4 linked regions of the Struthio camelus genome follow. The protein of the gene in region 1 purifies or fractionates together with the protein of each later gene. This does not show direct contact. Links are inferred from orthologs where the notes say so. Each region holds a gene or a part of one and is shown in the gene's direction. Other genes may lie near its edges.

Region 1 (7,918 bases):
GGGTCCCGCGCCGGCGCGGCAGCAGCCCTGACTCATCATCGGTCGAGCAGAGCCGGTTTCCCTCGGGCCCCGGGTCGAGGCCGTCCCCGGCGTTCGGCCGCGGCTTCCCAGCGGAGAGAGGCGCTCGGAGACGGCCGCCGCGCGGGTGACGCCGGCTGGCGTGACAGTCGGCGGATCGCCGTCGTGGCGGGGTTCGGGAAACGCCGCTGGAGAGCCGGTGGTGGGGCCGGATCCCCCACTCCCGTGCGGAGTTGGGAGGCGCGTGCTGAAAAAAGCCGCCCGGCCCCCAGGCGCGTCCGGGGAGCGCGCGGCCCCCGCCTGCCACTGCGCTGGCCCTCGGGAGCAAAGAGCATCCCCTGGCTCCCGCGGCAGCAGCTGACGTGGAAAAGCTCCTCGCGGCGGGTATTTTTAGCAGCTTCCAGCATGATTTAGCAGCTGGAGGCGAGGAGGGGAGCCAGCGCGGCGCACTCGCCAGCTCCGCATGGGCCCCGGCGTGGGAAAGACCAGGGCTCAGCAGTGCAGATCTGCCAGCAGCGGGGGGCGGGGGGAAGGGAATAATCACAGCGCGTGCTCGTTATCGCCAGGATTATGATAAGAGTTGGGCACAGAGACTTTATTTTCTCATCCTTGTTTTTGGGAGGAGAGAGGGGGGAAGAACAACCTGGCGGGAGGGCAGGTCTGGCACCACCGGAGGGAATTTTTTTTGCGGCGTCCCTTCGATTTGGCTGGACTGGTAGCGTTGGGCGCAGGGGGGAGGCAGCTGCAGAAGAAAGGGGAAACCGGAGCTTTCCTCAGGATTCCCTCCGTGACAAATATCCAGGTGGTTTGATTTGTTTTCGGTGCCCCCAGCCAAGGTGAGGCGGGTGCCACCGCTCTGCTGGAGCTCAAACACGTGCCAAAAAATTGCTGGGGGGCGGGGGGGACTGAATTTCAGTTCAAAGAAAAATCCCTCCTGGAAAACATCCAGCCTTGACCTAAAACCTCTTGTTCTCCGCGTTTCCCTGCAGTTGTGTCCGGCCGGAGCAGCAGCAAGGAGCCAGCCGAGCGCCCCGGGGCCAGCGCAGGTGAGCGGCCGCCTGGCGCGTCGCCCCCGAGCCGGGCGCCGGCCACGTCCCGCTGGCCCCTCCGCGGCCTTTCATCTCCCGGCGGGAGCTGCCAGCCGCTGGCGCGGCCCCGCGTCACGTGGGCAGGGATTTCTCCTCGCCGCTGACCCGAGGCCGCGTTACAGTAACCCAGAGGTGGAGCGAAGCCGGACGCCGCTCGCCCGCGCCGCCGAGTCTTGCCGCCGCGACCGCTCTCGGCATCCCGAGGCCTCCGTGCGTCTCTGCATGTCCTTGTTCCGCTGTCCGTCTGTCTCGCTGCGTCTCCTTCCGTGTGTGTGTCCGTTTTTCTTCCCCCCCCCCCCCCCCTTGGACCCTGCGCAGGCAGCTGGCGCGTGGCTCTAATCAAAGCCTCGTTTGCTCCGCTCCCCCCCCCCCCGAAGAGGAGGTTTGGGCTCTCTTTGGAGGTTGTCGCTTTTATCTGCTACCTTCAGGGCTAAGTCCTCGGCGGGTGCGAATCAGCCCGGCGCTGCCAATTGGCGCCGGATTCCGGCTCCGGCTGTCCAGCGAGAGGAACGGGGTGCGGATTACGCGCTGCCAGGGCTCGGGGCTGCGCGCGCCGCTCCAGCCGGCTCTGCCACGGAGACGCGCCAGGCTCGGTCGCGCCGCCAACGCTCCCCTCTCTAGAAATGAAAATCCCCTGGAAAAGGCTGATCCGCGGCCCCCGCGAGAGCAGGAATCCCCTCCGCGTGGAATTACTCATCTCGGTAAACGCCACGTTCCCGTGCCCCGAGGCCGGGGGAGTTGCTCGTCGCCCGCGACGCTGCCCGGAGGCCTCGGCCGCGATGTCGGCTCCGTCTGGCCGCGTTCGGCTCCGTCTGGCCGCGATGCCGTGGGAAACGAGGGTTTATTAGCTAAATCGATGAGGCAGCTGGGAAAGAAGCGCCGGAGCTGGAGCGTCTCGGCCGCGGGGCAGCCGGGCTGGAAAGCGAGGCGGGAAGGCCCGGTCCCCTCGGAGCTGCCACGTTCCCCGTTCTGGGCTTCGCTCTGCTGGTCCCCTCCAGTCACTGGCCTGTTTTTAGGGGCTGCGCCGCCACCCAAAAGCGTTATTAGCGGAGGAAAACGAAGCCAAACCGAAGCGATGGAGGAAGTAGGCATGGAAGAGGCAGCGGCAGCTTCCGCAGGAGGTTTTCCCACAACGGCGACCGTTTCCCCAAGCCGGTCGGCGCGTAAAAGCCTCTGTGACCCCTCTCGCCGGGTGAAACGCGGTGATAAGCGCTGCGACTTCCCTATTAGCGTCATGCCGCGTGTTGCTCCGGTCGCGCCCCTGGCCGTCGCTGAGCTGCGAAGAAACATCAAAGACGGGTTAGAGACAGAAAAAAGGGGGGGAGAAAAAAAGAAAAGCCTGCCCTGGCCGTGCCCAAGGGAACAGAGACCAAGCCGCAAGCAGCCAGGGTCAAGTTTAAGGCAAGTTTCTCCCGGCGGGGAACGTGCGCTCCGGCCGTCAAAGCCTCGCAAATCGTTAAAAACGCTACCGGGGAACCTGCCCGCGACAAAATTAGCGGCGGCAGGTTGCTCCGCGGCCCGTTAGCTGCCAGGAGGGGAGCGGAGAGAGAAGGTGCCTGGACAGTGGTGTCAAAGGGGGCAGCCGCGAAAGGACCGAACTGGCAAAAAACAAAGAAAAAGAAAAAAAACCCACCTTGTGGAAGTGAGAAATAAACATGAACTGGGTAGGAAAAAAAAAAACAAAAAAAGGTTGGGGGGGGGGCATCAACATATTCTTCTTGTCTCCAAATTCCTCCCAAACCGCTGGCCGCCCGCGCCAGGAGGGAGCCGTTTCGACACGAATTCGTGGTGCCGGTGCTCCCGGGGGGGAGCTTGGGTTAAATATAAAAGGCGCCGCGGGAAGCAGGCGGCTGGCGAGCGGCGCGGCCCCGTGGGCGCCGAGCACGGGCGGTCGGGGAGCGAGATTCGCTCTGCGCAACGATTTCTTTCCTCCCCACCCAAAAATACCTATTTTTTGCCAGGTTTGTAGGGCAAAAAAGCAGCTGAACAAGCCCAAAAATGAATATCGAAGCCGTGCCTGGTGTTAAATTCTTGGTGAGCAGCGGGAGTTTGGCCTGGCTGTGGTGCAGTTTGGGGGGATTTATGGAGTTTTTCCTTTTTTTGGGGGGGACACCAGCCCCGCCTACCGCGCTCTGGCTTCGTGCAAACCACGAGGGGTTTGGGATCCCGTCCGGAAAAGGCTTTTTCTCCCAAAAGCGGAGGGGGTCGGTGTCCGAGGGCCACGGGAACAGGTCTGCGGGCATCGCCGGAGTCCAGAGCAGGCCTGATTGCAAAAGGCCTCGAAATCAGGGTTGGGAAGAAATTAATAATCGTTATTTGCAATTTGTCGGTGGAGGGAGGGGGGGAAAAAAACCCCACAGGTGAGGTGAAAAGCTCCTCTGACCTGAGCGGGGAACGTGTTTGATGAATTATTTGGGGGAAAAAAGAGAGATGGAGAAGAAGGGAAAAATAAAAGCAGGGTCCTGGGCTGCCGTCCAGCGGCCGCCGGCTCGTCGGCTTTGGGCCTCGAGGTGAGTTTGCGTTTCCCCCATCGCACCTTTTTTTAAGTGTAACGTTCAACAGATGAAAGCGTTTCTTAGGAAGCAGCGGGAACGAATCCCGAGGGCCCGGCACGCGGCGGTTCGAAAACCAGGACGATCTGGGGAGAGCGAGGCTGCCTTCTGGGGCCGAAAAGATGCTCCGGGGGCAAAAATGCTGCAAAAATGCCCTGGTGGTGTCATCCCGCCGCCCCCGAAAAGCCCATCGGGGCGCCCCGAAGGGCTCCTCCCCGGGCCCCCTTGCTTCGGGGGGGATTTGGGGGCGTTTGGGGGTCATTGCTCCGTGCGCAGACAAAGCGGGAGACATCGGGGGCCCCGGGGTGAAAAATCCCCTTTTCCCTGCTCACCTCCGAAAGCAGCACGGCGGAGCGGTGAAAACATCGCGTTTTTCACCCCAATTTTTACGGGGGAAGCTACGGGGAGAAAAAGAGAAAGGGGTGAGTGTTTCTCGCCAGCAAAGCGGGGCAATCGCGGCGGTGGGGGGGGCGGGGGGGGTTTCTCTCCCTTTTAATTATTTCTCGGTGTCGGTTTTACCCGGGGAGGCGCGTTGGCTTTGAACGCCGGTGGAGGAAAACACACAGTTAAATCATTCCTAACGATGCACTTAAACGAATTTGGACCATGCGCTTAAATGATTTTTCAAGGCTGTTTCTTTTCTTTCCCTTTTTTTTTTTTTTTTTTTTTTGTTCTTCCTTGCCCTACAGCCTAAAGAAAGAAAGAGTAGGGAGGGAAAATAAAAAAACACACACACACACACACACACCACTCCCTTCTGAAGTATTTAAAAGTAGGGAAGGGAGGGGGAAAAAAAAGCCCCCCCCTTGTTTTTTTTTTTCTCCCTTTTTTTTTTTTTTCCGCCTGTACTAGTAAAGCAAGGAAAGCGGGCGGAAAAAAAAATCTCGTGGTGTTACTAGTATGGAACTAGTTAACCTTTAACAATTTATGCTGATGTCATACTGAGCATGAGTACTGATTAATCCAGCCTTTTCTCTCTCCCCCCCCCCCGCAAAAAATATTTTTATTGAGGGAGGTGGGGGGGGAAGTATAAGGGGAGGGAGGAAAAAAAAAAAAGAAATAATTTAGAGCAGCCATCTTTGTTTTATGCAGAAATCTTTCTCTTTCAGTTCCCCCCAGCGCCAGGAATATACAAATATTGTTCATCTTATGCACTGATCTGAGATCTTCTGAGAGATTAAAAAAAAAAAAAAAGAGAGAGAGAGAGGGGCCAGCAAGCCAAAAATCAGAATTATTTTATATCGCCAGCTATATATATTCCGAGCAGCAGCAGCAACAACAAAAAAAAAAAGGGGGGGGGGAATCTAGGCTGCTTTTTTTTTTCTTGCCTGATTTTTGTTGAGGCTTTTTTTTTAATCTTTTTTTTTTTTTAACCTCAAGGAAGAGGTGTGTGTGTGGGAGTAGGGGGTGACTTAAAAAAAAAAAAATAAGCCAGCCATTTTGGTTTTTTTTCTTTCTTTTTTTTTTTTAATAAAGGGTGGGGGGGATTTGGGGTTTTTTTTTTTTCGGTAACCTCCCGGGGTTGAGGGAAGGGGGGGGGGGGTCGGTTTTAAAAATAATTTAAGGGCGGCCATTTTTGTTCCTTGCTCTTGTGGAAAATATTATTCCGAGCTGCCCCCTCAGAATTTCAATGTATTTTTAACCTCTCTTCTCTCTCTTTCTTCCCCCCCCCCCAACTTTCTCTCTTTTTTTTTTTTTTTTGGCAGGGGAGGAAAGGAAGGGGGGGGAAGTCGGCGGGGGAAGAAAAGTTCGGGGAGTTTTCTCGCTGTTTTGGGGGGGTTCATGGCTGCATTCGCGGGACTTTTTCCTGCCGTTTTCTCCTCAGGCTGAGGTGCTGCGCGGGGGGGGGGGGAGGATTTTTTTTGGTGTGTGGCGGAGGGGGGCCGCCCCCCCTTCTCTTTTCTCTCTCTCTCTCTCCCTCTCTCTCCTCTCTCACTCACTCCCTCTCTCTCTCTCTCCCTCCCTGCCCCCCCCCCCACCCCCAGCACCACCATGGCTTCCCCTCTGAGGGAGGACGAGGAAGAGGAGGAGGAGATGGTGGTGTCTGAGGTGGAGGGGGACGAAGAAGACGAGGAGGAAGAGGAGGAGGAGGAAGACGGAGCCGGGGACAACAGCCCCGGCGACATATTCCTGTCAGCCGTGCAGGCGGCGGTGCCGCTGGCGCCCGCGCCCGCAGCATCAGCTCCCGCCGCGGCCGCTGAGGCGACTGAGGCGCCTCCAGGTAAACAACCTCCCCCCCCCCACCACCCCCAACCCCGGCCCCGCTTCCCGCCGCCGCCGCGCGCGCGCCCCCCCCCCTCCCCGCTAACGGCTTTGAAGGGGGGGGGGGCGCCGTGTTTGTAAACAACCGCCAACGGCTTTCGAACGTTGAGGGGCCGAACGTTCCACCCCCCCCTCCCTCCCCGCGCTGCCGCCGAACGCGCGCGCGCTGCCCAACGGCTCCGGACCGTTGCGGGGCGGCGGGGGGGGGGGGGGCGGTTTCTAGGCCCCCCCCCCCAACCGCCGCCCTCCCGGCCGCCGAACGGGCGCGCGCGCGCGCTGCCCAACGGCTCCGGACTGTTTGGTTGTGTGTGGGGGGGGGGGAAGCGGTTTCTAGGCCCCCCCCCTTCCACACACACACACAGAGGCGCCGCGCTGCTTTGCCCGGTTTAACGCGCCCGCCCGCGCCGAGCTCTTCCCCCCCGCGGCCGGGTGAGTGGATGTGTGTAAAGGGGAGGTGGGGGGGGGGGCATCGGCCTGGCCTTCCTCCCTCCCCCCCCACCGAGCTCTTCCTCTTCCTCCTCAACGGCTCCGTTCCGTTTGTGGAGGGGGAGGGGGCGTTTCTAAGCCTCTCCCCGGTTTAACGCGCCCGCCCGCGTGGAGGGGAGCGAGCGCCGGCCCTCCCCGCCCAACCGTTGTATGGGGGGGGGGGGACACCGTCGCGGCCTTCCTCCCCCCACCTACCGCGTTCTTCTTCCTCCTCCTCCTCAGCGGCTCCGCGTCGTCACGGGGGGGGGGGCGGTTTCGCTGAGGGCCTTCCCCCCCCCCCAACTCTCCGTTAACGGCTGTGGAAGGGGGGGGGCGCCGTCCGGGCGCCGCCTCCCTTCCCCCCCCCCGCCGCCGCCGTTAGTCCCTGGGGTGGGGGAGGGGCGGCTGTGCGAAACGGTGCCCCTCCCCCACCAGGGGGCCGCCTGCCCCATGGACCCCCCCCCACCCCGCCGCCGTGGGGTGGGGGGCGCCTGAGGGGAGGGAGGGCGCTCGGTGCCCCCGTGGAGTGAGTGGGGTGGGGGGGCGCCTGAGGGGCTGTAGGGTGCTCGATAGCCCGTGTTGTGGGGCGATGGGTGCCTGAGGGGCTGTAGGGTGCTCGATAGCCCGTGTTGTGGGGCGATGGGTGCCTGAGGGGCTGTAGGGTGCTCGATACCCCCTGGTGTGGGGCGATGGGTGCCTGAGGGGCTGTAGGGTGCTCGATAGCCCGTGTTGTGGGGCGATGGGTGCCTGAGGGGCTGGAGGGTGCTCGATACCCCCTGGTGTGGGGCGATGGGTGCCTGAGGGGCTGTAGGGTGCTCGATAGCCCGTGTTGTGGGGCGATGGGCGCCTGAGGGGCTGTAGGGTGCTCGATAGCCCGTGTTGTGGGGCGATGGGTGCCTGAGGGGCTGTAGGGTGCTCGATAGCCCGTGTTGTGGGGTGATGTGCGCCTGAGGGGCTGTAGGGTGCTCGATAGCCCGTGTTGTGGGGCGATGGGTGCCTGAGGGGCTGTAGGGTGCTCGATAGCCCGTGTTGTGGGGCGATGGGCGCCTGAGGGGCTGTAGGGTGCTCGATAGCCCGTGTTGTGGGGCGATGGGCGCCTGAGGGGCTGTAGGGTGCTCGATACCCCATGGTGTGGGGTGAGAGGTGCTGGGAGAGTGTCTGAAGGGGTCTAGGGTGCTCGGCGCGCGGTGATGTGGGATGGGGGGGTGCTGGGAGGGCCCTGAGGGGCTCTAGAGTGCTCGATACCCCCTGGTGTGGGGCGGTGGGTGCCGGGCGGGTGCCTGAGGGGAGCCAGGGTTCTCAATGTCCTGTTGTGTGGGGCAGTGGGTGTCAGGAGAGCATCCAATGGGCTCCAGGGTGCTCAGCACCCTGTGCTCCAGGGCGATGGGTGTCGGGGTGGCGCCTGAGGGGCTCTAGGGTGCGCAGCACCCTGTGGCATGCAGTGATGGGTGCTTGACGTGCTCTAGGGTGCTCGGCACCCCATGGCGTGGGGCGATGGGCAGCGGGAGGGCGCTTGATGGGCCCTGGGCTGTT
Region 2 (7,572 bases), on another chromosome or scaffold:
CTCGGCCACCGAACAGGTTGAGGAGCTCGCCCACGCGGGGCCGGGATGAAAGCGCGGCTGCGAGCCTCCTCGGAGAACCGCCGGCTCCCGGCGCATCACCCGCCCCGGGCGCCCGCGCTGGGGCTGGGCCGCCCTCCTTGGCACCGCCGGGCGGGACGCGGCAGCGGGAGGACGACGGGAGCCCAGCCCCGGCGGCGAGCGGGGAGAGGCCTGCCCGGAAAACCGAAGGGATGGGCGCCTCGGGAGCGAGGGTTCGGGGAGGCCTGGGAGGAGGCTCAGTAGCTTTATCCGCCTCTTCTCAACACGCAGAACGAGGCCGCTACCTGTCCGGGCTGGTTTTCGTTGGCATCTGGCTGGTTTTGATCCCGGTGCTCGTTTGGCAAAGCGCAAAGAGGAAAAACTCTCCGGAGGGAGTTTCCAGACCTGGGCTTTGGTGGCCGAGGGCTTGGAAACTTCCCGCTTGCCGCCTGCGGTCCTCCAGCGAGACCTCCCGCCGGGGCAGGCGAGAGCGGCTGCCGCTGCCGCAGGGCTGAAGCGAGGGCGGCGTTCAGCTCTCTGCCTTGACCGGTCCCAGTCTCCTCACTCACCTTTAAAGATGCTGGGTTTTTTCTTCCCCTTCCCGTACAGGCCACCGCCGAGGCAGCACGTCCCGCGCCAAGGCGGACGGAGCCGGGAAGGAGCCAGCGGGCAGCACCGGCGCGGCGACGCCGAGCAGCCGCCGGCCCGGCGGGGCCCTTCCCTGGCAGGAGCACAACAGGCTCTGGAGGAGGAGGAGGAGGAGGAGGAAGAAAACAAGGCTGGAGGGGGGGGGTGAAAGGCGCTCCCCATAATAACACAGCATCTGGCCTGGGAGGAACCCAGCGAAATTGGGGAGTGGGACCGGGCTAGGCAAAATTTATCTGGAAGAGGTTAAGGGGAAAGCCTGCCTGGAGCAGCCAGGAGTTGTTACACCCGAAAGAAGTTATACGCTGAACTGCAGCAACGCTCCTCGAGCGGGCCGGCTGCGAGGAGAGGTTTCCCCCAGCCCCGGCGCAGGGCGGCTGCTGCGGGGTTGCTGCCGGGGGTGCTCCCCGGGGCTCCTTCCCGCTGCAGGGAGCGATCCAGGCCTTCCCGGCGTATTTGGAGGGCTGGGGAGAAAAGGCGCCAGGGAGCCATGAGGACGCAGCGTGTCTGCTGGCGGTTGGGGGTTTCTGGCGCGTTCTGGGGCAGTAAGCAGCAAGCGTCACCCGGAAAGCGGATGGAGCAGCAGCGGGACACCGGGGCTGCCAGCTTTCCCTCTGGAAGGAGAACGGCAGCGCCGCGGGAAGCCCCAGCGACCGGATGAGCTCCGCAGCCTCGCCGGGCTGCGGGGAGCAGGCGCGGAGCTACCGTCTGTGTCTTGACAGAGGCCAAACCTGCCCCCTGCTCAAGCCTTTAGGAGCTGCTTTTTCAGCCCGCGAGGGTCAGAGCCTCCTGGCTTCGTTTTGGACGATCGTTTCAGTTTTGGCACGAGAGGGCGGCTCAGGGACTTGCGGATTGAGTTGATACCCAGAAACTTGCAGGTACCTCTACTGTGTTTATGATTCTGCCTCCCGGGAAACTTGGGAATAAATATTTTAATACAAACTGATTTAAACGTAAACTCCTTCCCGCGAAAGGGACGTACTGCCGGTCTCCCTCCTCTCGCTGCTGCACGTGTCTCTGCGACAGGCGGAGGACGGCCAGGACAGCCACAAGTCACTTCATTTATTAAACTTGTCAACAGTTAATTACATTGAAATTAACACACAAACGTAACGTTTTGCACAGGTCAAAGCCATGCCAGGGGAAGCCGGTGTCTTGCTGTCCCGTCTTTCATGCTTTTCATCGTTAATTTAATCCCAGACGAGAAGGAAGACGACGAGTTTGCACTCCCCGAGTGCAGGTCTCCAAGCGTTTTGGGGCATCAGAGGTGAGAAAGTGAAACCAGCAGCGGGAACGTGGGGAATGCAAAGAAAAACAAGGGGGGAAAGGGGGGAGGCTGCAGGTCCGACACGCCGGAGAGGCAGCAGCACCTGCAAAATACAGGAGGTTTTGTGGCCGTGCCCGGAGGCACCTGTGGATGCCGGAGAGAGACAGGCTCCTCTCGCTGCCTTTCCTCCCTCGCTGAAAACCGTAACGCGCACGCATTTATTTCCAAGTTGCTTCTCACTGGAGAGGAGGCTTGGAAACGGGACAGCTGTGGTAAAATGGCTCTGCCGCAGGACGCCGGGGTCGCTCGTGACCGCGGGCTGCTATGACCATCAGTAGATGGGGTTGTGCCGTCAGGCGGCAGCGCGGAGCAGCAGCGCTGCCGGACCGCGGTTTCGCCCCGCCGCAGGGCTTGGGCGCTCGGGGCAGCACGCGCCGGGCAGCCCCTCCGAGGCAGCTCCGGGCCACGGTCGCCTTGCTAAACCGTCAGCCCCGGGCCCAAGCGCCCCGGGGGTTTTACCGCTGTGGCCACAGCCGGGTCGAAACAACCGAAGCGGATGCACGGAGCGCCCGACGGAGAGGGACAGCTCGCAGGTACCTCCTGCCCGAGGCAACTTCTGCAAAGACAGTGAGACGCAGCTAGTCAAGCCCGCTGGAGCTTGCTTCAGACGCCAAAAAGCCAGGTTTTACCCGGGTCTGGTGTCATGCATTGCCGCTGACGTAAAAATCTGGGTATTGCGGAGTTCCCGCTTTCAGCACAAATAATTTGGCCCTGCAAACTTCCCTGCCGCGTGCTAAGTCAGTTTGCTCCGGAGCGGGAAGCGTCTGCAGCAGCTCGTGCAGAAGAAGGGATGGCCTTACAGGATCGGTCCCTTAAGCCGCCCACCTCGAGATACCACTGAAGGAATACTGCGTGTTTTTAAGCCGTCATTATAAAACCGAAGCGAAACACAGGGGATCTTGTTCTCCGCAGCGCTGCTCTGAGTGCAGTTTTGTAGGGTTGGTGCAAAGCCGTGAAAAACACGGCCAGCTCTGAACCCTCCCATTTCGCACTGTCTCGGTGTTACTGTAAACAACGGCGGAGCAATGGAAAATCCCAGCGCGGCGTGCCCCCGCGCCTGCAGGACTGCGCCGGCCGGCCGGCGGCCGCACAAAGGCAGCCAGTTACACGTCCCACCCAAAAGTTAGCGGGGGGCACGGTTCGGTATTTGCAGAGCGCCAGGGTTTAGCAGTGCGATCTTTCAGGACGCTCACGAGAATTACGCCGGTAAAGCTTCGTGCACTGGTGTGAAAATACCGTTATGGAGCAGGTGACTCCACGCCGGAGGCGCCGGGGCGTCCGCGCCGGCAGGCTGCAGCGCCGCTCGGTTGCGCCAAGGGCGGTGTACGCCGTCCGGGCTTCACCACGAGCGCTGGGAACGGAGATAACGTGCAAAACCGTAACGCGGTCGCGTGTTTTACCCGGTACGGGGCATGGTTTCTAGACACTTCTTTGATGCGGTGTGCAGGTGTTAGGGTCGGAGGCTCGAAAGCCGGCTCGCTCTTCCCGCTGCGTCTCGGCTCGGCGGAGGGAATCACCCAGCCGCTCCGCGACTCGCCTCCCCCCCGGCCGGTCTCTGCCGCAGAAACGCCGCCCGCGTCCCTTCACAAAGCAGCCCAACGCGGCGGATGCTGCAGGCCTGAATTAGCGCGGCCGCTTCCAGGGAGCAGGATGGAGCCGCCTGCGCTCGGGGTCGCAGGCGCCAGCTAACGGCGATACCGCACGGCACGGGCGTATAACAGCAACGCCTGTGACTGAAGTACCCCAAACTGCCCCGATTCCAGCGGGATTTCCTGGCGAAGCGCGGGCGGGCTGGGGGGGCTCGGGCCGCGCTGCCGGCCCGGAGCGGCTACGCCGGCGTAAATCCGGAGAAACGCGGCAATTGCAGAGGCGCATTTGGATTCGCGTAGGGGATGAGCGCACCCGAGCGTCCCACCCCGAAAGGATAAACTTCGGAGAGGCGGATAAAACCGAGAAATAATTTGTTTATTTGGGGGGGGGTGAAGAGAGGGGGTACATCCCACTGCTGTTCGCAAGCAGAAAACGGGTCAGTCATGGACTAGATTTGCATTTATTTGTTAAATCCCTCCATGGCTGCAATCTGCTATTAAACCTTCAGCCTTCCAGCGAGCCGAAAGAGTAGTTTTACTAATAATAATTAAAAAAAAAAAATTGTTTTTTTTCCTTCGCGGCACCAGAAAATTTCCACTGAAGATCTGAGGGAGCGGGGGGGGAGGGTACAATCAACAGGTATTTCCCATCCAAATTGGCGGCGAGGGGAATAAATCGGAGGTGAATAGGTAATTACGGGTTTTTTTTGGGGGGGGGGGGGAGGAAGGGGCGCCTCGGCGGCGCGGAGCCTCTTCGCCGCGGACAGGGGCGCCCGCCGCCGCCGGGCGATCCCATTTCCACGAGAAGTTGAGCCAAAACTTTGCGAAGTGAATTAACCTCTCCCCCCGCCTCAACCGACACCCATCTCCCCCCACCCCCCCTCGCCCCGCCACCACCTCACCGCCCGCCCCGCGCCGCCGCCTCCGTTCCCGCCTCGGCGCCCGCGCGGCCCCTCGCGCCGCGCCGTCCCTGAGGGGAGCTCGCGCCATTGTCTGTGAGGGGATGGTCGCGGCACCCCCCGCCGCCGCGGCACCCCCCGCCGCCGCCGCTCCCGCCGCCGCCTCCGCGCCCCCGCCGCCGCGCCGAGGGGCGCGGGGCGCCGCGCCGCCGCCGGCTGCCTCGTCTCCCCTAAAGTTTTTGGATCCGCGTCTCCTCATGATGTATGGATGATATATTGCATTGTGGGTGTCAATATAACTGACGGCCATATTTGCCGGTGCTGCTACTGCTGTAAACAACCCAAAGTGTCTGGGAGACGCCGAGACGCTTCGCTGGATTTCAGGACGTTTTTCTCCTCCTGCCGCTGGCCATGTCGCTGGGAATGTCTTACAAACCCAACTTGAACGCCCACCTCCCCGGGACTCCCCTCACCCCGGGTAAGTCCGCGGCGGCAACTGGGCGGCAAGTTTGGGAGGCGTGCGGCGGGGCTCCGCCGTGCCGCGCCGCGCCGCGCCGGCAGCCGGGGCCGGCCCCGCGCTCGAGTTTTTTGTCCAGCCCGCTATGGCGGGGCAGCGGCTCCGCGCCGGCTCCGCGCCGCCATTACCAGCGCCCGCCCGCCCGCCCGGCGGCGCCGCCGCCGCCGCCGCCAGCCCGCCTCGCCTCGCCTCGCCTGGCCGCGCCGCCCCTCCGCGGGGGCGCCGCGCCCGCCGGGCCGGCTCCGCACCGCCGCCGCTACCGCCGCCGCTCCGGGGCTCCGGCCGCCGGCTTTCCTCCATGCTCGGCTCCCCGGGGCGGCTGATTGATCTGGATCAGGAATATTCCGCCGGCGCCTCAGCGAGGACCGCTGCTGGCGGGACGCCGCAAGTGCCGCTCGCGCCGCTCCGCGCCGCGCCTCCCGCGCCCCGCCGGCCCCGCTCTCCTCAGGGGCAGCGGCGGCCGCCGGCCCAGGGGCGCCCCGGCCCCGGCCCCCCTCGCCGTGCCCCCGCGCCGTCTCTCCGACCCGCCCCGCTCGCCTGGAGCCTTTTCTTTCTTTTTTTGGGGGAGAGGGGGAGGCAGGAATCGCTCTTTATTTCTTCCCAAACCCCTCTTATTATTTTTTTTCTTCCTCATTGGATCTGTAGAGAAGTCCCAACTTTCCTCTCTAAAAAAGTTTTCCTTGATGGGATTAACTTTTTTTGTTTTGTTTTGCTTTTACCCCCCCCCCCCCTTGATTTATTTCATTTCCAGCGGTAACAGGCAGTGAGGGGTTGTGCTCAGGGTGAGGTGTTGGCTGTGAGAGTGGGTCTGGGTGTCGGGGTGCATATACATCGCGCGTATACATTGGTGAAGTCCAAACAAAGCCACAGCGGCGATTGCTCCGCTCTGGGGTATTTGGAGGGGAACTCACTAATCAGTGCACCCCGGCTAGTATTGAAACAGAACCAAAATGGAGAAGTTGGTTCTGACTTAAAAAGAAAGACAAGAAAAAAGAAACCATATTCCCGTCTCCCTTTCCCACAGCTCCAGCCTGCAGGGCTGGCACCGGCCGCTCTGCAGGCAGAAATACGACTGATGTTTTGAGAAGGGAAAGTTTTGCTGTTTGGTTCAGGAGGGAGAGGGAAATTTGCCTCGGGGATTTTACAGCACTGTTTGCGGTTGTGTTCCTGGGATATGGATAGACGAAGGGGATTAAGGAGATGCACCTCTATTCTCACTACCGGGAGAGCGGCGATTGCATTTTACTGTAAGGAATTGGCACCAGCCGGTGATGGAGCTGAGGTCCCTGCACCTCCAACTCCTACGTGCAGGGCAGCTTCGATCCTGCGGGGAGCTGAGCCTGGTGGGGCTGCGCGTGGGGAAACTTGGCGTGTGCAGGGAGCTCCCTGAGCCTAAGTGCCGCTTCCCAGGGGGGCCAGGAAGCAGGAGATGTGCTAGGATTTGTGACAAAAAAGCAGAAGTGTCACCCCCCCCCCCAAAAAAAAAAAAAGCCCCAATGCATGAAGCACCGCAGGGGAAATGTTTCTCCCATGAGAACCTGTGCCTTGCTTTCTGGAACAGCTGTAAAATTGCAGGGGAAACAAAGGTAGTATTTTGTAGTGGTGCGTGGCGGGGTGGGGATTAGGTGGTACTGGGGGGGGTCCAAGTGTGGCCACGCCGAGCGGGAAGACTGCAGGATCCCGGTCGAATGCCGCTCACAAAGCAGCCGAGGGGTGAACTTCTGCCTCCGGTCCTCCTGCTGCCGTGTCTCTGTGCTTTCTAATGCTCCGGCTGCGATCGGGGTTTTAGATTCTTTCATGCAGTTTTCATCTTTCCTTTATTATTATTATTATTATTTTTTTAACATTTTGTTTTTCTTCCCCTTAATGGCAAGACAGCAGCAGTTTGCTGTCATGCTGGGACTGTCTAACTTGTGCTCTCTCCTGAGTTTAGATCACCCTCAACACCCCTAGGATCTTTTCAATGAAAAACCGTCCTCCTCAGAATCCAAAATGGGCTCTCTCTTCCCTCCCTGTCTTCTGCCATTATCCTCACGCACCAGCTCTTCCTCTAGCTAGTGGTATTGCCAGCACCGTGGCCTAAGGCCAAGGGAGTTAGACAAAGCAGTCCTTGCAGTTGCACATATCGCATTCAGAGTGATATGACTGCAAATGGCCCCCTCCTCGCTGGAGCTTAATTCTGAGTTGAAGGAGGTTGCTTCTCTATTGTGTCTAAATTAAATGCCACTGGCCAAGAGGAAAAATCCGAGGTTTGCTTCCAAACCTGGGGTGAAGGAACCCCACCCCCACCCCCCCGTCCTGCAGAGGAGAGGAAAACAGGAAATCTGTCCTTTTTGGCCTGAGATCAGCCCTGCAGAAGCCTCTCTGTGTGAATGCTGAATATTTTGGTCTCAGCTGACAGAAGGGCTCTGGCCAGCTGTGGATCTCACAGGGATTTTCCTCTGGGAGATAATGCTGCTTCTCTGCACTGCAGGGCTTCTGGTGCAGGAGAATTTGGAAAGGCAGTGTGGCAGCTCCGCTCCTGAAGCAAGCTGTGTCCTTGCTGCAGAGCTAACTCCTTTCAAGTTTAGGCTGAGA
Region 3 (6,906 bases), on another chromosome or scaffold:
CCCAAAAGTTTTGGGAAATGGGCAGGGGATAATACATTACCCTCTTAAACCTTCCTTTCACTGCACCCTGCAATACACCAGTGTCGTGGAAAAGAAAATCAAGTCAATAAATGTTGCAATTTATATATATTTGAATAGATAACAAGAACAATTTTACTGTTTGCCATAAATGAAAAAAAAAATCCTCACCAAATCATTCCTCTGATTGAGGTTCTGCAGCTCTGTTTATGGCTGCAAAGTGATTTGATACAAAAAAACTACACATTTTGAGTTATTATATCACCCAGAAATTTGATGCCACTTAACTATGTAATTTTCAGAAATGATATAAAACCATTGCACAAAAATATTCAGGGAAACCCAAAAGACCTTTTTTTATCTTTTTTTTTATGGGTCTAAAATGAGAACTCACAGAGATCCTTGCACTGTATGTGAAGGCTGAACTGCCACCTCGGGAGCTTTATTAATATGTATGTAAATATGATCTGGTTAGATTCTGTGTTTCTGTATCTTTTCACAAGGTGGAGCGGCTAACTAAGCCGATCAGATCAATGCCCTCTGTTTATCCTTATTTTTCCGAAACAACAACATTTAAAGATTCAAAGAGAATGAGAATCGCAGCCTCATTTATATCAAGATTGTCTCAAACCTTGCTTGCTTGCTTGCTTGCTTCCTTCCTTCCTTCTCTCTCTTTTCCTCCCTACAAGTCCTAGATCTGTATCAGAAACAATTTACTTCTAAGTTAGTATGAGCTTTCTCAAGTGAAGACTGGGAAGAAACTAAAATCACATCACACAGAATATGCAGCTTCAATTTCTCTTCGACTGAAAAGTTATTTGAGCAAATGGGGAGAAAGTGGAAATGCACTCAAAATAAGTCCAAGTGACACCTCAGGCTTGTCCTCTGTGAGGATATCGGGACTTCCTCTTCACACTGGAGCCATGCTTATTTACGTATCTATATCTGTGCCAAATCTCAGCAAAAGACATCGCATGATTTCAAAAAAGAAAAGAAAGAAACCCAGAAGCTAAACATGGGTGTGCTGAGAGTTCTCGACTCTGCATGCCTTGTTGTATACAGGATAAAATGGAAGATTTAACATCATATTAGCTTGTTTTCCCCTATGATAAGGATGGTGTTTCTAGATGAGAACTCTTCAAATCCCGGGCATATTATGAAGACAGGAAAGATGACTACCTTAGTACAAGACATTTTGTGCGTGCAAGCGCATTTTTGCCTAATTTAAAACGAGGCACTAAAGCACCTTTACAGCGGGTGAAAAGCTTGCCCTCTTCTTGCGGGTTTCGCCTCTTTTGCAGCGGGGAGCAGCCGCCGCGGTGTGAAGGGCGCTGCGTGGGGCTTGGCGGCGCGCTCAGCCCACGGCGGCGGCGGGGACGCGGCGGCACCAGGCCCGCGCCGGGCTGCGGTGAGGGGCGCGGGGCAGGAGGGGGCTCGGCACCGCCGGCGCCGCCGAGGCGAGGGGCCCCCCGACAAAGCGGAGCGATGCCGGGGGGCAGCACCCGCCGCCCGGCCGCAGCCCCCGGCCCCTCTTGTTTGGCTGATGGGGCAAACAACGGCGGGGGAGGGGGACAACGAAACGGTGGGGCCAGCTGCAGATGGAGGCGGGTCGAGGGATAGGTCAAGGTTAGAAAGAGCCTGCTATTGATCTGGCTTTGAACGCGAGACAGGGAGAGCAGAGAGACTAAAGGGGGAGCTGTGAGACAAGACATTAACAGCTTTCAGTGCTAATGATCACAAGTGCCAGACAGGGGAGGAAAGAGGAGACTGAGAAATCACTTTGGAATTTTTTTTTTCCCCTTCCCTATTGGGATGTATTTTCGGAGGAGGAGGAAGAGGAGGCAGGCTGGGAGCTCACCCCCAGCAGCCCTGCCCGCAGCCTGCCGACGCGGGCGGGAGGGAGAGGGCTCCGCGCCGCTCCGCGCTGCCCGCCGGGTCAATCATTGATCGCCCTTATCTCCGGCTCCCAGTGCCCGCTGGAAGACACTGGTTAATCAACAGATGATGCCCAGTAACTTCCCGATAAGCCTCGCTCCGAAGGGGCGCAGCTTCCTGCAACTCCCTGAGAAACGGCCGGAGCCGCTGCGAGCCGGACTTTGCACCCCCAAGGACAGAAAATGACCCCCCCGCCCCTCCCCCCCCGCACCCCAGCTCACCCCAGGGGCAGCCGCTGCCCCCCGCCCCCCGCCAGCTGCGGGCCCCCCCGCGGCGGCGGCCTGGGCCGAGGCGCCCCGAGGGGACGGGCCGGGTCCCAGCCCGCTGTCGGCGGCCAGGGGCCGGGATGGCCCTGCCCGGGGCTGAACGGGGCCGGCGACAGCCCCAGGTGCCTTCCCGGCGGCGGAAAGCCGCTGCTGTCACCACGCTAGTTTTTCTTTGTAGGACCCTGTAAAACAAAACAAACAAACGCGGCGAAGAATCTAAACAAGCTTAAGCGCCGTTAAATGTCTTTTACATGTTTGCTTGTGTGTTAATGGAGGCTGATGGCTGAGCCGGGGCAGGGGAGGGCATCGCAAAGCTGGCCCTGCGCCCGCCGGCGAGCCCCACCGCCAGGCCTCGGGAGATGGGGGTCTGGCCCGCCCGGGGAGTGCGGGTCGGAGCCGGCTCCAGGGATCTGGGGGCTGCCAGAGCCGAAATGCGAGATGTGAGCAGTGTATGTGTGTGTGCGTGTGTATAGGCAAAGGCAGATTTGCTGGAGGAGGCGAGAGTGTTGCTGTTTAGCCAAATTCTACTCAAAGCTGATTAAGGGCACCGAGATGAATTCTGGTCCCCTAAGGCTCACATGCGATTTAATACAAAAAATATTCATTTAACGTAGAAAGTAAATGACACGAATGCAGAGCGACTCTCCGAGCGTGCTCCGGGTGGAGGCTGGGTTTCCTGGGTTTCTCTCCCATCCGCCTTCAAACCCCCAACACTCCCCCTCCCCATTTCCCTCGACCTGTCCAGAGCTGGTGCTGAAAAGCACTTTGCACGAAACTATTTGCTTGCCTGGAGAGAGAGGGAAAAAAATCAAAGGAGATGGGGCTAGGACAGCGGAGGTAGAGGAGGAAAAAGTTGGTTTCCAAGAAGCTCCCAAGTTAGAAGCGCACGCACTTGTGGGCATTTACCTGCGTGTGAAATTGGAGGAAAAGTGCGTTGAGATGCGGTCCCTGGGAACTCAGTGTCTCTCGATTCGTGTCTGAGACTAATTCCTCCACGAAAAATCCTCACAGCCAGGCATTTTAAGGTGGGGGGGGCGGCAGAAGAAGGTCGAAGAGGAGTGTGTGTGCGTGTGCGGCTCGGGAGCGTGTGTGCGTGCGTGTCCCAGAACGATCACACTTACATTAGGGAGAGAGGAGGAAAAAAAAAAATCTCTCCCCAGCCCACACAGATATTTGTGTTGTTGTAAAACTGTTTGAAAGAAACGCACGGGGAAGGTGCTCGCAACCGAGGAGCTGCGGCGGAGTCGAAAGGAAAGAGCGGCCCGAGACCTCTCGGGATCTCATGCCGGACACGGACCGCGGAGGAGCAAGAGCCAGAGCCGAGCTAGGACGGCGGAGAGCGGGAGGCGGCATGAGCAGCGGGGAGAGAGCAGCAGCGGCGAGCAGCCCTCCGCAGCCTCCCGCCGGCGCCCTCCTGGGCTGCCGGCCGCGGCGCCCGGCCGGGGCAGCAGCGCGGCTCGGAGCGCGGCCGCGCAGCGCCGCCGGCCCGGGAGCCGCTGCCGCCGCGGCCGGCGCCGGGGCTGAGGCTGGGCTCGGGGGAAGTTTTGCTGTGCGGGAGGATACGGATTTGTCCCCCCTCCTCTTTTCTTTTAGCATTCAGCGTACCCGAGAAACAGCACTGCACAAAGCCCGGAGCTGCTCCCGATCCATGCATATGCCTTAGTTTGTGTGTGTGTGTGTGTGTCTGTGTCTGTGTGTGTGTGTGTGTGTGTGCGCGCGCGCGCGTGTGCATGTGTGTGTGCGTGTGTGTGTGAGTGCGAGTGGTGTTTCTTGTTCTCTTGCAGGGTACAATGTTAAAAAGCCACCGCTAGTCGCCCCCAGTGCTCCTACTCTCTGGGTCTTTTTGTCTCTAGTGCAGATTAAACGTCACGTCCGCACTTGAACTTGAATTTTATCCCATTGTACAGAGGCAGCCCCAGCCATAGAGAGACAGAGCGCTCCCAGAGAACCAGGACTCCGCCATCTTCACATTGCAATATATAATAGTAATAGCCAGCACCAGCCCAGCTGCACTGGGGGCTTCCTTCCTTCCAGTCCCAGTGCCAGGCGAGGGGGGAAGAGTGCAAAGTGGTGCAGGAGCACTGGCAATCCAAAAGCACCAGGGCAAAGCAGTGCCACTTGAACTGGGAAAGAGGAGACACAGTTTTGGCTACCCCTTTTCAAAAAAAAAAAAAAATATATATATATATCTCTACCCAGAAAGGGTCAATCTCTGAAAAACAATTTTTTGGCAATTTTTGTGTGTGTGGGCAATCCCAGTTCTAGTACTTTTTTTGATATTCCTGCTTCTTTTTGATATTTTTTATTTTTATTTTTACCCTCCTGGTGGAAAAGCGCACTTGCCAATTTGCCAAGCACTCTGGAAAGAGGGAAACAGAAAAGTGTCACTGGCGGTGCATATCCTCCTAAGTTCAAGAAGAGATTTGGAAGTCCAAGTGGCAGCAGCAGTGGAGAAAAGACAGAGTGTTTGAAAGAGAAAAAGCAGAGCGACAAAGCTTTTTCCTGATGATGATGATGATGATGATGATTTTTAATTGAGAGGGGATCCCAGCTAGTGCACCACAGCAGCAACAAAAAGGAGGTTTTTTTTCCCTTTTCTTTTATTTTTGAAAGAAGAAGAAGTCGATAAAGAAGAAAAAGAAGAAAGAAAAAAAAAGAGGACGATCGGCACCCCCAACACATCTCCCCAAACCAGTGCAGCTCTCCAGGCGATGCCAGTGTAAATGCCAGGGCAATGTCCCGTCGCAAGCAGGGAAACCCGCAGCACTTGTCACAAAGAGAGATTATCACACGTAAGTTTGAACTTGGAACCAAACCGAGCCGAAATCAAGGAGCAAAATTAGAGAAGGGGAGGAAGCGGGGGGGGGGGAGTCCAGGAGAAACCAAAGCTGGTAAATGACTTCAGAGAGAGGGAGAGGAGCAGGGAATTAAAGAGGGGAGGGGGGTGTGCGGCTCGGGGGGATGGGCTGGGGGTGGATGGGGGGGAGAAGCCCGAAGTTTGCCGTGAATTTGCAGCGGCGCGGAGGTGAGGCGGGCAGGCGGGCGGCGGGCCGCGGCCGGCGGAGCGAGAGCGGGGCTGCCCCGGGGGAGCGGGGCGTGCGCGGGGCGGCGGAGCGGGGCGCGCCGGGCCGGGCCGGGCCGGGCCGGGCCAGGCCGGGCCGTGCCGTGCCGTGCCGAACCGGCCGCGCTGCCCCGCTGCTCGCCCTCGGCCCCGCTCCCCGCTCCGGGGGCAGCGCGCAGCGGTGGGAAAAGTTGGCCGAGCGCGTTGCCGCGGCGTGACAGGCGCCGGGGCGGGGTGGGGGGGGCGGGTGGAGGTGGGCAGCACAGCGGCCGGGCGAAGTCGGTGGGAAGCACATGGAGGCTGTGGGTCGGCCGGGGCAGAGCGGGCCGGGGTGGCCGCGGCGGGGCCGAGCCCCCGGCGCGGGGCGCGGGGCAGGCAGGCTGCAGCCCTGCCCGACCCAGGTGCATCGCCGGGGGGTGACTCTCCTCCAAGGCGGCGTGGGGGGAAGATGAGGTCGGACGGGGCCAGGGGCTGCGGAGGGGCTGGGGGGGGGTGTCTGTCGGCGGAGGGAGGGCGCGGGGAGAGCCGAGGCGGCGGACGGGGCTGCAGGGCACGAAACGCGGGCCGGGCAGCGGCGCCAGCTCCGGTGCTGGGGCAGGAGCGGAGGCTGCACTTTGCCGACGCTCCCATTGTCAAATGAAAACAACACCCCCCCCCAAAAAAAAAAAAGAAAAAGAAAAGCGGAGGGAGGGAAGGAGGACCCCCCCCTTCAGCTCCAGCATCCCACCCTCCTCCCCGCTCCCCACCCCCAAAACCTCGGGAGAGGGGCGAGCGCCTGCCGCGGAGCCGGAGGCAGGTCCCCGCGCCGGGCACCCCGCTCCGCCGCTCCCGGCTGCGCCCGCGGGGAGCCGCCTCCGGGCGCGGGGCCCCAGCGCGCCCCGCCGCCACCGGGGCACGGGGCGGGGGGCGCGTTACCCTCCAAAAAATCCTTCGCCTCGGACCGGGGCGTGGGGGGGGGCGCAGCCCGCCACGGAGAGGTCGGGGGTGGGCGGGGGCCGGGATGGCCCCGCTCCTCGCCGGGAAGCCGGCCGGGCCCCCCCGGCGGAGTCCGCAAGTTGCTGTGCTGCGGGGGGGGGGGGGGGGGGCGGCGGCGGCGGCGGCATGCACGGAGCCGGCCCGGGGCTGAGCCTCAGCCGCGGCGGATCCGAATATTTATGTTCAGATTTTAAAGAATTTAAATAAATAAATAAAATATTCCCCCGGCTTCTCTCCCCTCCCCTGAAAGCCAAGAATAGGAGCCATCTGCTAGGAGCATTTGGTGCTTGCGAGCTCCTCTCTTTCTTTGTTACCGGTGATAAATTTCTGTTTGTAAGATTTCCTTGGGAATCTATATATATATATATATATATATATATATATATATTTGCACCGCCTGTGAGTTTTTTTTTTCTTTTCGTAGGGGAGGGTGTGTGGGGGGGGGGACGTTTTGGCTCCCGCAATTTCAATTTCTTTCTCTCTGTCTTTCCTTTTTTTTTTTTTTTTGGTGTGCTCCTTTATTTTTTAACCCGTTCCTCCTCCTCCCCCCCCCCCGCCCATCAGCTGGTGGAACACAAATGAAGATGCATCTGGTATTCAGCTCTTTCGGAGAGGGGGGTGTTTTTAATTCATTGCTATTTTGGGGCCAGA
Region 4 (7,609 bases), on another chromosome or scaffold:
CATGAATTTGTAAACCCTCTGTTTAATGTTCAGACCCTATGCTTTCAGACTGCTCATGCTAGAAATAAACTCTAGGTTTAAGTACTTGGATTGAATTAGGCCGTGTGAATGTGGCCCAAGGATGGGAAAGTCTAAACACCTTTTCCTTTCTGTTGCATCAGCATGGAGATGAGTCTCCATAAAAGCACTGTAAGGAACTGAGCCAGTTTTATATGGTACAAGTAATTTTCCTTCAATGCTTTTGGTGATTTTAATAAGATGTTTATACCTAAAAGATCCAAAATTATTCCAGCTACTTGTGATAAGCACTTCTAAGCATAGCTGATATGTTGTAGGATGTTGTAGGCATGTAGTTCAACTGGTTTGACAGAAAGCAAGTTACAGTGCCAAAAATCATTATTTTTAAAATCTGCGGTATTTTACCTTGAAGTTGGTCATTCTTAAAACACACATCTCTGGATGTATTTTACTGTATATCTCTGAATTGTCAGTTTGATCCTCAAGGCAGTAACTTAGTAAGAGGTTTGTCTGGCACTGATTTCTTTTATAAGGTTGGTGGGATTTTTTGTTTTTAAGATTCAGGCTTTTGTTTCCTATAGAAGATACTGGACTGGACCTCTCTGGATTTAAGTTCTTTGGCCACAAAACCGGATGCTGCATGACAGCTGCAAGGAAAGTTCTCTTATTTTGCCACTTTAAAATGCTTAACTTTTCTAGGGTAAGGTTGTTAACAGCTTTTTGAAGCCTTCATTTTGGTCTCTACAATAGTAGAAAAAGAGCATTGGTAGTGAGGAGGTTTTGTATCTGGTACAAGACTTCTTCAGAACTTGTCCAAAAATCTCTGAACTCCTGTGAACGTTGTTCTGCCAATGGCTGACAAGTTTTTAGTCTCTGAAAAGCTAGATGGAATTAAAAATGAAAATTTAGGGCTAAAATTTGACCCCTTACTATTCCCCTAGTCCAACCAATCCCTCATGTAAGCAGGAAGCCTTTAAGAGCTGCCTATGAAGAAAAGTGAAACATTTTGTATCAGCCTTAATGAAAAATCTGTATATCGCCACTGCATTTTTAAATGAGTAAGAATACAGTATTGCACCAGTCAGCTTAATGGGTATTTAGTATGTAAAAGCATCTGAAGAAGATAAACTGAAAAAGTCAAAAAAAGAGGGTGAGGTCCGGACAAGTCAATGGACATCATAGTGGTAACTTGACAAAACGTTCCCCGGTAGCCCTCCTCTCAGCTCCATCTTCTTCAGTTCTGATTTAGCTCATTGTGGGGCTAGCTGGTGAACTTGGATCAGGGAATTGGTCTAGAAAAAAAAAGAGGTATAGGGATTATTTTTAAACTTAATCTAGATTATTTTTGACCTAGATCACTTTTCTGATGTGTTTCAATTTGTGACTCCATAAATGGGTAGGAAGATTTTTTTCAACTGAAGGGCAGCACAGACTTCAGACGGAATTATGGGCTGCTCAGGATGGCACAACAAAAAAAGCTTTTACCAAATGAGATTCTTTGATAATCCGTTTCTCTAGCAGGAGTATGCTCTTTTGCATTATTGACTTCAGTTGCCACAGAAATGTGGTTTCTTTCAGATAACACAAGTAATTTTATTGTATATAGCTATAAAGACCATTTATCAGATTAAGAGAAAGCTCTTATCAGAATTTTACTCAACAGTGATCTGCTTGGAAGAAGAGGTAACAAGTTTTGCATTATATTTTATTTAGAAATATGAAGGTGTTTACACAACTTCGACTTTTACCATTCCCTGTACTGAGATAGCAGAGAAGAAAAATTCTAGCCAGTCTTTTCTATTCGTTACACCGGACTAAGATGTACTGACATTCCTGCAACTCAGTCCCCAGCCACAGCCAGCTGTGCCCACTGCTTTCCTCAGCTTGCAGTACAGTCCCTTTAAAGTATGCAAAGACACAGTAAGAGCAGCATGACACCATCCCATATCAGTCTGTGCCTATACAAGCTGCATTACAGTGAATAACCAGGCTCAGTGATTCAGTACTGAGGTACATAAACTACCTGAGTTATTAGGCAAGCTACGCATGCCTTTCTTTAGGCAACTGTAAGTAAAGCTTTGTCGTGCTATTTTTAGGGCGTGGAGCTGCAGAAGCAGCCTGCAATCGTGGGGTTTCCTGGGCTGTTCTCTCTCAAGTTCTTGAAAGGCAAATTCTTTCTCTTCAGTAGCAATCTTCCTTTTACACAGGCCATGTCTTCAGACCACGCAGGGACCGTGCAGTCTTGTTTCTACTGAAATCCACTCCTTGCTAGATGAGGGTACACTGGTAGACCGAAAGTGTGGGCAACTCCTCTAGTGTTGCAGTGCAGACTGACGCTGAGAAAAAGAGCTTGGAGGCATTGTGTTTAATTGACAATGACTGCAACGAGCCAACTGTTTGAATTAACTGTTCTCTTGCCTTCAAAGTTTAATTTCTGTTTTATTTACCAAACAATAAACCACAAGAGTAAAAATAACACACTGTTTAACTTCTGGCTATTTTTGTTTGGTCCTGCCAAGGTAGTGTTATTGTGCTTCTAGAAATAACCAGTGCCATCGCATAGAGCTGCTACGTCTCAAGGAGTTTCTGCAGACCTTTTCAGATCCCACAGGTTTGCTTGTCAGGAGACAAGACAGAGGAAGATTTCAGATTTTGCTGCAGTTTTGTGAAGAAGTACAAGTCACTGAGGGCTTTGTATACAAACTTCACATGTTTTAGTCATGCTAAAAGTCAGCAGCTTGTTTGACGCAAAGTAGTAACCCATGAAATTAAAAGCACGCTACTTAAAGTAGAAGCAAACTTACCCTCATAGTCACAGATTCACTCAAAAAGGGAAAGGGAAGAGAGCGTATGGTCATCGGAAACACCAGTGAAGCTCATCCTCTTAAAAATCAGCATGTTTCTCCCTTAATAACACTACGTTTTCCTTCAGCTCAGGGCGAAGTGAAATGTTAGCTGGCAAACGCTCAAGATAACACGCACTAAAATCCTGAACGTGAAGCAAGTGATACATCATCACCCTCCTTGCAAGAAAACGATAAAGAACATTTCTCTTCAAAGGAAGCACTCTGAAGCAGGACCGAGCTGTTTATAAATCGCATGCATACATTGTTTGCGACACTGGGAACTTCACATAAACATGGCAAGACAAGCTTTGTGCTACATAAATATTGATGTTCCTGGAGCATCCCTCTAATCAGGTGATTTGTAAGCAATTCCTTCAGCACCGACTGATGCTCAGACTAGCCGCTGCCTCTGCCTTTGCCCTGGGGCAGACGCCTTCCCGTTTATTGGGGAAGATGGGGGTAACCGCAGCCTTGTGCTCTGATCAGTGGGGCGCTAGCTTTTGAAGGGGATGTGGGGCAGAAAGGTCGCCAGATCAATGCCAACCAGAGCAGTGAACACACGTGTCAGACACTTTCTCGGGACCACTGCAAGCAGTTTCCCGGGCTGGGGAAGGGGGGAGAGCGCGTTTGCCCGGAAGGAACAAAGACTCAACTAGGGGGGAGGCAGAGCCTGCAAACACAAGAAACAGGACTAATAATAACGATACTATCCGCCGGGATCCTACAGGCAACGTGGGGCTCCTCACGCGGCGGATCTGCCAGCCGGCGGGACCAGGCTGCGGGCGCCTACAAGATGTCGCGCATCGGGGACCGCGGCGAGGCTGCGACCGCCCCAAGGTAAGTCACCTTGCGGCGGGGCCGGGGGTCGGGTCGGGCTGGGGGCGCCCCCCGAGCCCCAGCGACGCCGAGCCGAGCCGGGCCGGCCCTTGAGCCCTCCCCCGGCCGGGGCCGGTGTGCGCGGGGGAGGGGGCGCAGCGGCGGGGGCGGTTGTTTAACCCCTTCGCCGCCGGGCGGCTCCGGAAATGGCCGAAGCGGCGGCGGCGGCGGCCCCGTGAGGCGGGCGGCGCCGCGGCCTGTGCCCGCGGGCGGGGAGGCAGGCAGGGAGGGAAGGAAGGAGGGGTGGCGGCGCGGGGTGGAGGGGCAGCCGCAGCCGCAGCAGCCGCTCCCGCCTTGCCCAGCCCGGCCTGGCAGAGGCGGCAGGAGGAGGAGGAGGGCGCGGAGCGCAGACATGGCGGCCAACATGTACCGAGTAGGAGGTATGTGGGGCCGGGGCCGCGCCCGCCCGCCCGTCGCCGGGGCCCGCGCCCGGCGCCGCGGTGCGGAGCGGGACCGGGGCGCGGCGGGGGGCCCCAAGCGGGCCGGGGCCGTGCGCGGCGCGGCGCGCTGAGCAGAGCCGCCCCCTTCCCCTTCGCTTCCCTTCCCCCGCCATGGCCAGGGCCCCGAGCGGGGCAGCCGGGCCCGCGGCGGGCTGGAGGGGGAGGGCGCAGGTTCCTCCCCCGGCAGCCCTGCGCGCCGGGTGGGAGGCCGGCCCCCACCGCCGCGGAGGAGCCGGGCAGCGCCGCCCTCCGCGGGGAAGGGGGGGAGCGGCGCCGCCGCCAGCTGCCTTCCCCCCGCCCGCGCTGCGGAGCCGCCCGGGCACGGCCTCCCCCGGGCCGCGGCGGTGGGGGCGCAGGGCGGCCCGGGCCCCGGCCGGGGGGAGGGGAGGGGAGGGGGTCTGAGGCGGCTCCCGGCTCGGCCGCCGCCGCGGCCTGGCGGGCCGGTGCGGCGCTGCCCTCGGCGGGGCCTGCCGGCCTCTGCTGGAGTGAACGGCCGCTGCGCCGCCGGGCGGGCTGCTCCCGCCCGCTTCCCCCCGCCTTGGGCCCCGGAGAGTGCGTTGGTCCCGGGCTGCGCCGCGGAGAGAAAGGGGGGCGCTCGGATGGGGGAAAAAAACCACAGGACGCGGCCTCCGCCGGTCATCACTTCCCCCCCGCCGCCGCCGCGGAGCGAACATGGCTGCGGCGCCGGCCGCGGCGCTCAGGTGGTGCGCCGGGGTGCGCTTCGCGCTGCTCGGCGTTAAACGCGTCTCGTCTCCTCCTCTTTGCTGCCAAACGGTGCTCGGAGGTGAGAGGGGAGATGCAAAGGAAAAGGGGCGGCAGCAGTTTGAGTCCCTTCCTGCCGCTCTTTCAGGGTATGCCGATACATCTGCAAATCGCCCGTCTGGACGCTCCCTCGTTGGGACGTGGGGAGTGTGATCCCCGCCGCCTTTACTCGTGGAAGTAATCCTCCCTTGAGCAGCGCTGTTGAAGCCTGGGCAGGGTTTACTGCTTGCATCAGCAGTTCTCAGCCTTTTCGTTGTGAGCTTAGTAGGCAACGGTGAACAGTCCCGTTGGCTTTCTTCAGAGCTGAATGAGCTACCCCAAGTTGTTCCGCTGTAGCGTGGTGTCACAGCACTGCAAAGGGTTTTAAATGCTGTTATGTCCCTGCCCAGATTCTTTGAAAATAAAGAAACAATGCTTTGCAAGATGTGTGGTGCAAGTCAAACATCAAATCGAAAGTTTTACTAGCAGCATTTGAGAGGTACTTTTGACCCTGTAAAAATAAGTTTTGAGAAAATCTCGGTGTAGGAATGCTTCAGAGCACTATCTGCCATCGAGTGAGATGCCTCAGCTTTTTATCAGCTTCTAGGTTTACGAAAAACCTTGCCCTAACAAAAATGATGTTCTTCTAGGTACGTTATTTTGAAATAATTCAGTATCCTTCTCTTTTTTTTTTTTTTAATTGTAGATTATGTATATTTTGAAAATTCTTCCAGCAATCCATATCTCATCAGGCGAATTGAAGAACTTAACAAGGTACACACGTATTTAAGATCACTGCTTAACCTTTGATAACAGTCTGTGCACTTTTCGAAAGTTGAGAACTGTTTCCATCTCATAAAGTTTCCATCAGTAGAATTTTTGAAAGTTTTGTACGTTCTTAAGATTTGTTATGTGCCTTCTGTATGTTCAGTTATTACATTGTTGCTATGTGATACACTGTAGTCCTACCTTGTTATCTAAGGAAACACCTAGTTAATCATTCTGGATTGTCAGCAGTAAAAAATCCCTGGGCCAAATAAACAATCCTATGAATGCTCAGGAGAGTAATGAGTTTAATTCGACATAGGGTGATGACAGTGTGAATCCATCTGGAATGACAGTGATCATGTAACATGCTTGCTTTTATATGTGTGTGTATGTGTATATGTGTGTGTGTATATATATAATATATGTAAAAAAACTAGTAGATATCAGTGAGAATTTGCAGCGGTCAAACAATAGAATACAAAGCTTCTGTTGCTGTTTATTGCACTTATTGAATGAATTGCACTGTGAATGAAGGGCAGGGTCTTGAATAGAAATAGTCTACATTCTCTGTCTTTATTCTGAATGTATTTTTGTTGACTGAGTTGGTACTTTTTAGAGTGTCACTTTGAGGAAAACATGATTATTTCCTAGTTCTTGTGCTGCTAAGAATGTTTTTGAAAAAAATAAAGCAGCATTTTTTTTTTTTACTATTCCATGTAGTGATATTACAATTTACTAATAAATTATATCAAAAGTAAACAGTCAAAATACCTATTATATTGTGAAGGATAATGATGTTTTTGTGGTTAGAAAATAAATTCAAACTTGATGACTGTGAAAAGTTTTCTTCTTGTCAATGGAATACAAGACTACTCTAGCCATGATCCACATTGTTAGCGCTATCCAATGCAGCATCCATTCATCTACTGTTTGTATGTGGCAAATCAGTTTGACTTTTATTGGAGGAGAATATGTTTTATTTACAGTAATTAAAGTGATTCCAATTATGTTCTAACTGTAATGTTTGTTATCTTCAAACTGCATTGCTGTAGTTTAATCTTGCTTGTGGATGGTTTGAGCAGAGCCATATATTGATTTTTTTTTAAGAGAGGTTTCCAGGGTATAGTCCAGATACCTTCATTGTCAGTTATGTGCTATTCATGTGTTAAAGGCATTGAGCAAATAAGGAGATGTTATGCAAATACATAATGAAATGCTTCAAACATAAGATGCTTTCTTTTTTATTAAGAAACTTATTTAAAACATGATGCTTTATGATGGTACATCTTGAATTGGAAATATAATAAATAACTTGAGGTATATAGCTAACTTTCTAATATTTATAACAAGGAAGTGTGCAATTTTTAAAATATTAGTAGATTTTTTGTCATTTTATTATTTTTAAAAAGTAAATCTGTAGTAAGTCGTGCAAACAGAGCTGTGCAGTAACTTCCATTTTATGAGCTGATATGAATTTTCAAATAAATGCTGTTTTAAATATTTCGAAAATTGGCATGGCAGTTTGAAATGTGCATTTCTGTCTAAAACTGGGTTACAAATAAACGTTCACAAGCACCTCATGTGTCTTAAGTAGTTTTACGTTAGCATCGTATTGATGCTTACATTTGTAAGTAACAGAATAATATATAAATACTTTCTTATGAATAAGTAATTTTAATCAATGCCATTATGTGAGCTGAAATTGATGTTGGCATTTACCAAGAAGCTCCTATTTAGCTATTTAGAATTCTGTTGGTTTCAGCATGACCAATCACATTGAATACGAACATGAGGAGGAAAAAAAGAGTAGAGAACACGTAATTCTTACTACCCAGCTGGACGAAGATGGATTCTGACTTAATTTGTCTTTCTTTTCTAGACTGCAAATGGAAATGTGGAAGCAAAAGTGGTGTGTTTTTA

What was found.
Region 2: the proteins of CHD3 (region 1) and CDK2AP1 purify together in Homo sapiens (affinity purification with mass spectrometry; 6 studies listed by BioGRID and IntAct, with this or other methods). This does not show direct contact. The link is inferred for Struthio camelus from reciprocal best matches to the Homo sapiens genes CHD3 and CDK2AP1.
Region 3: the proteins of CHD3 (region 1) and BCL11B purify together in Homo sapiens (affinity purification with mass spectrometry; 3 studies listed by BioGRID and IntAct, with this or other methods). This does not show direct contact. The link is inferred for Struthio camelus from reciprocal best matches to the Homo sapiens genes CHD3 and BCL11B.
Region 4: the proteins of CHD3 (region 1) and MTA3 purify together in Homo sapiens (affinity purification with mass spectrometry; 4 studies listed by BioGRID and IntAct, with this or other methods). This does not show direct contact. The link is inferred for Struthio camelus from reciprocal best matches to the Homo sapiens genes CHD3 and MTA3.

Annotation. Positions count from the first base shown.
Region 1 is NW_027182697.1:108,030-115,947, reverse strand, and holds the start of CHD3 (chromodomain-helicase-DNA-binding protein 3), read left to right. Parts: upstream 1-4,907; 5' UTR 4,908-5,044; intron 5,045-5,191; exon of another isoform or gene 5,192-5,290; intron 5,291-5,367; exon of another isoform or gene 5,368-5,489; intron 5,490-5,643; 5' UTR 5,644-5,650; coding exon 5,651-5,879; intron 5,880-6,601; exon of another isoform or gene 6,602-7,918. Other genes in the region: CYB5D1 (cytochrome b5 domain-containing protein 1), read left to right, coding at 1-149.
Region 2 is NC_090958.1:16,837,159-16,844,730, forward strand, and holds the start of CDK2AP1 (cyclin-dependent kinase 2-associated protein 1), read left to right. Parts: upstream 1-4,562; 5' UTR 4,563-4,889; coding exon 4,890-4,956; intron 4,957-7,572. UniProt on the Homo sapiens protein: Inhibitor of cyclin-dependent kinase CDK2. Also acts as a component of the histone deacetylase NuRD complex which participates in the remodeling of chromatin.
Region 3 is NC_090946.1:69,453,035-69,459,940, reverse strand, and holds the start of BCL11B (B-cell lymphoma/leukemia 11B), read left to right. Parts: upstream 1-3,903; 5' UTR 3,904-4,953; coding exon 4,954-5,011; intron 5,012-6,906. UniProt on the Homo sapiens protein: Key regulator of both differentiation and survival of T-lymphocytes during thymocyte development in mammals.
Region 4 is NC_090944.1:111,823,888-111,831,496, reverse strand, and holds the start of MTA3 (metastasis-associated protein MTA3), read left to right. Parts: upstream 1-4,609; 5' UTR 4,610-4,852; coding exon 4,853-4,964; intron 4,965-5,627; coding exon 5,628-5,695; intron 5,696-7,568; coding exon 7,569-7,609. UniProt on the Homo sapiens protein: Acts as a component of the histone deacetylase NuRD complex which participates in the remodeling of chromatin.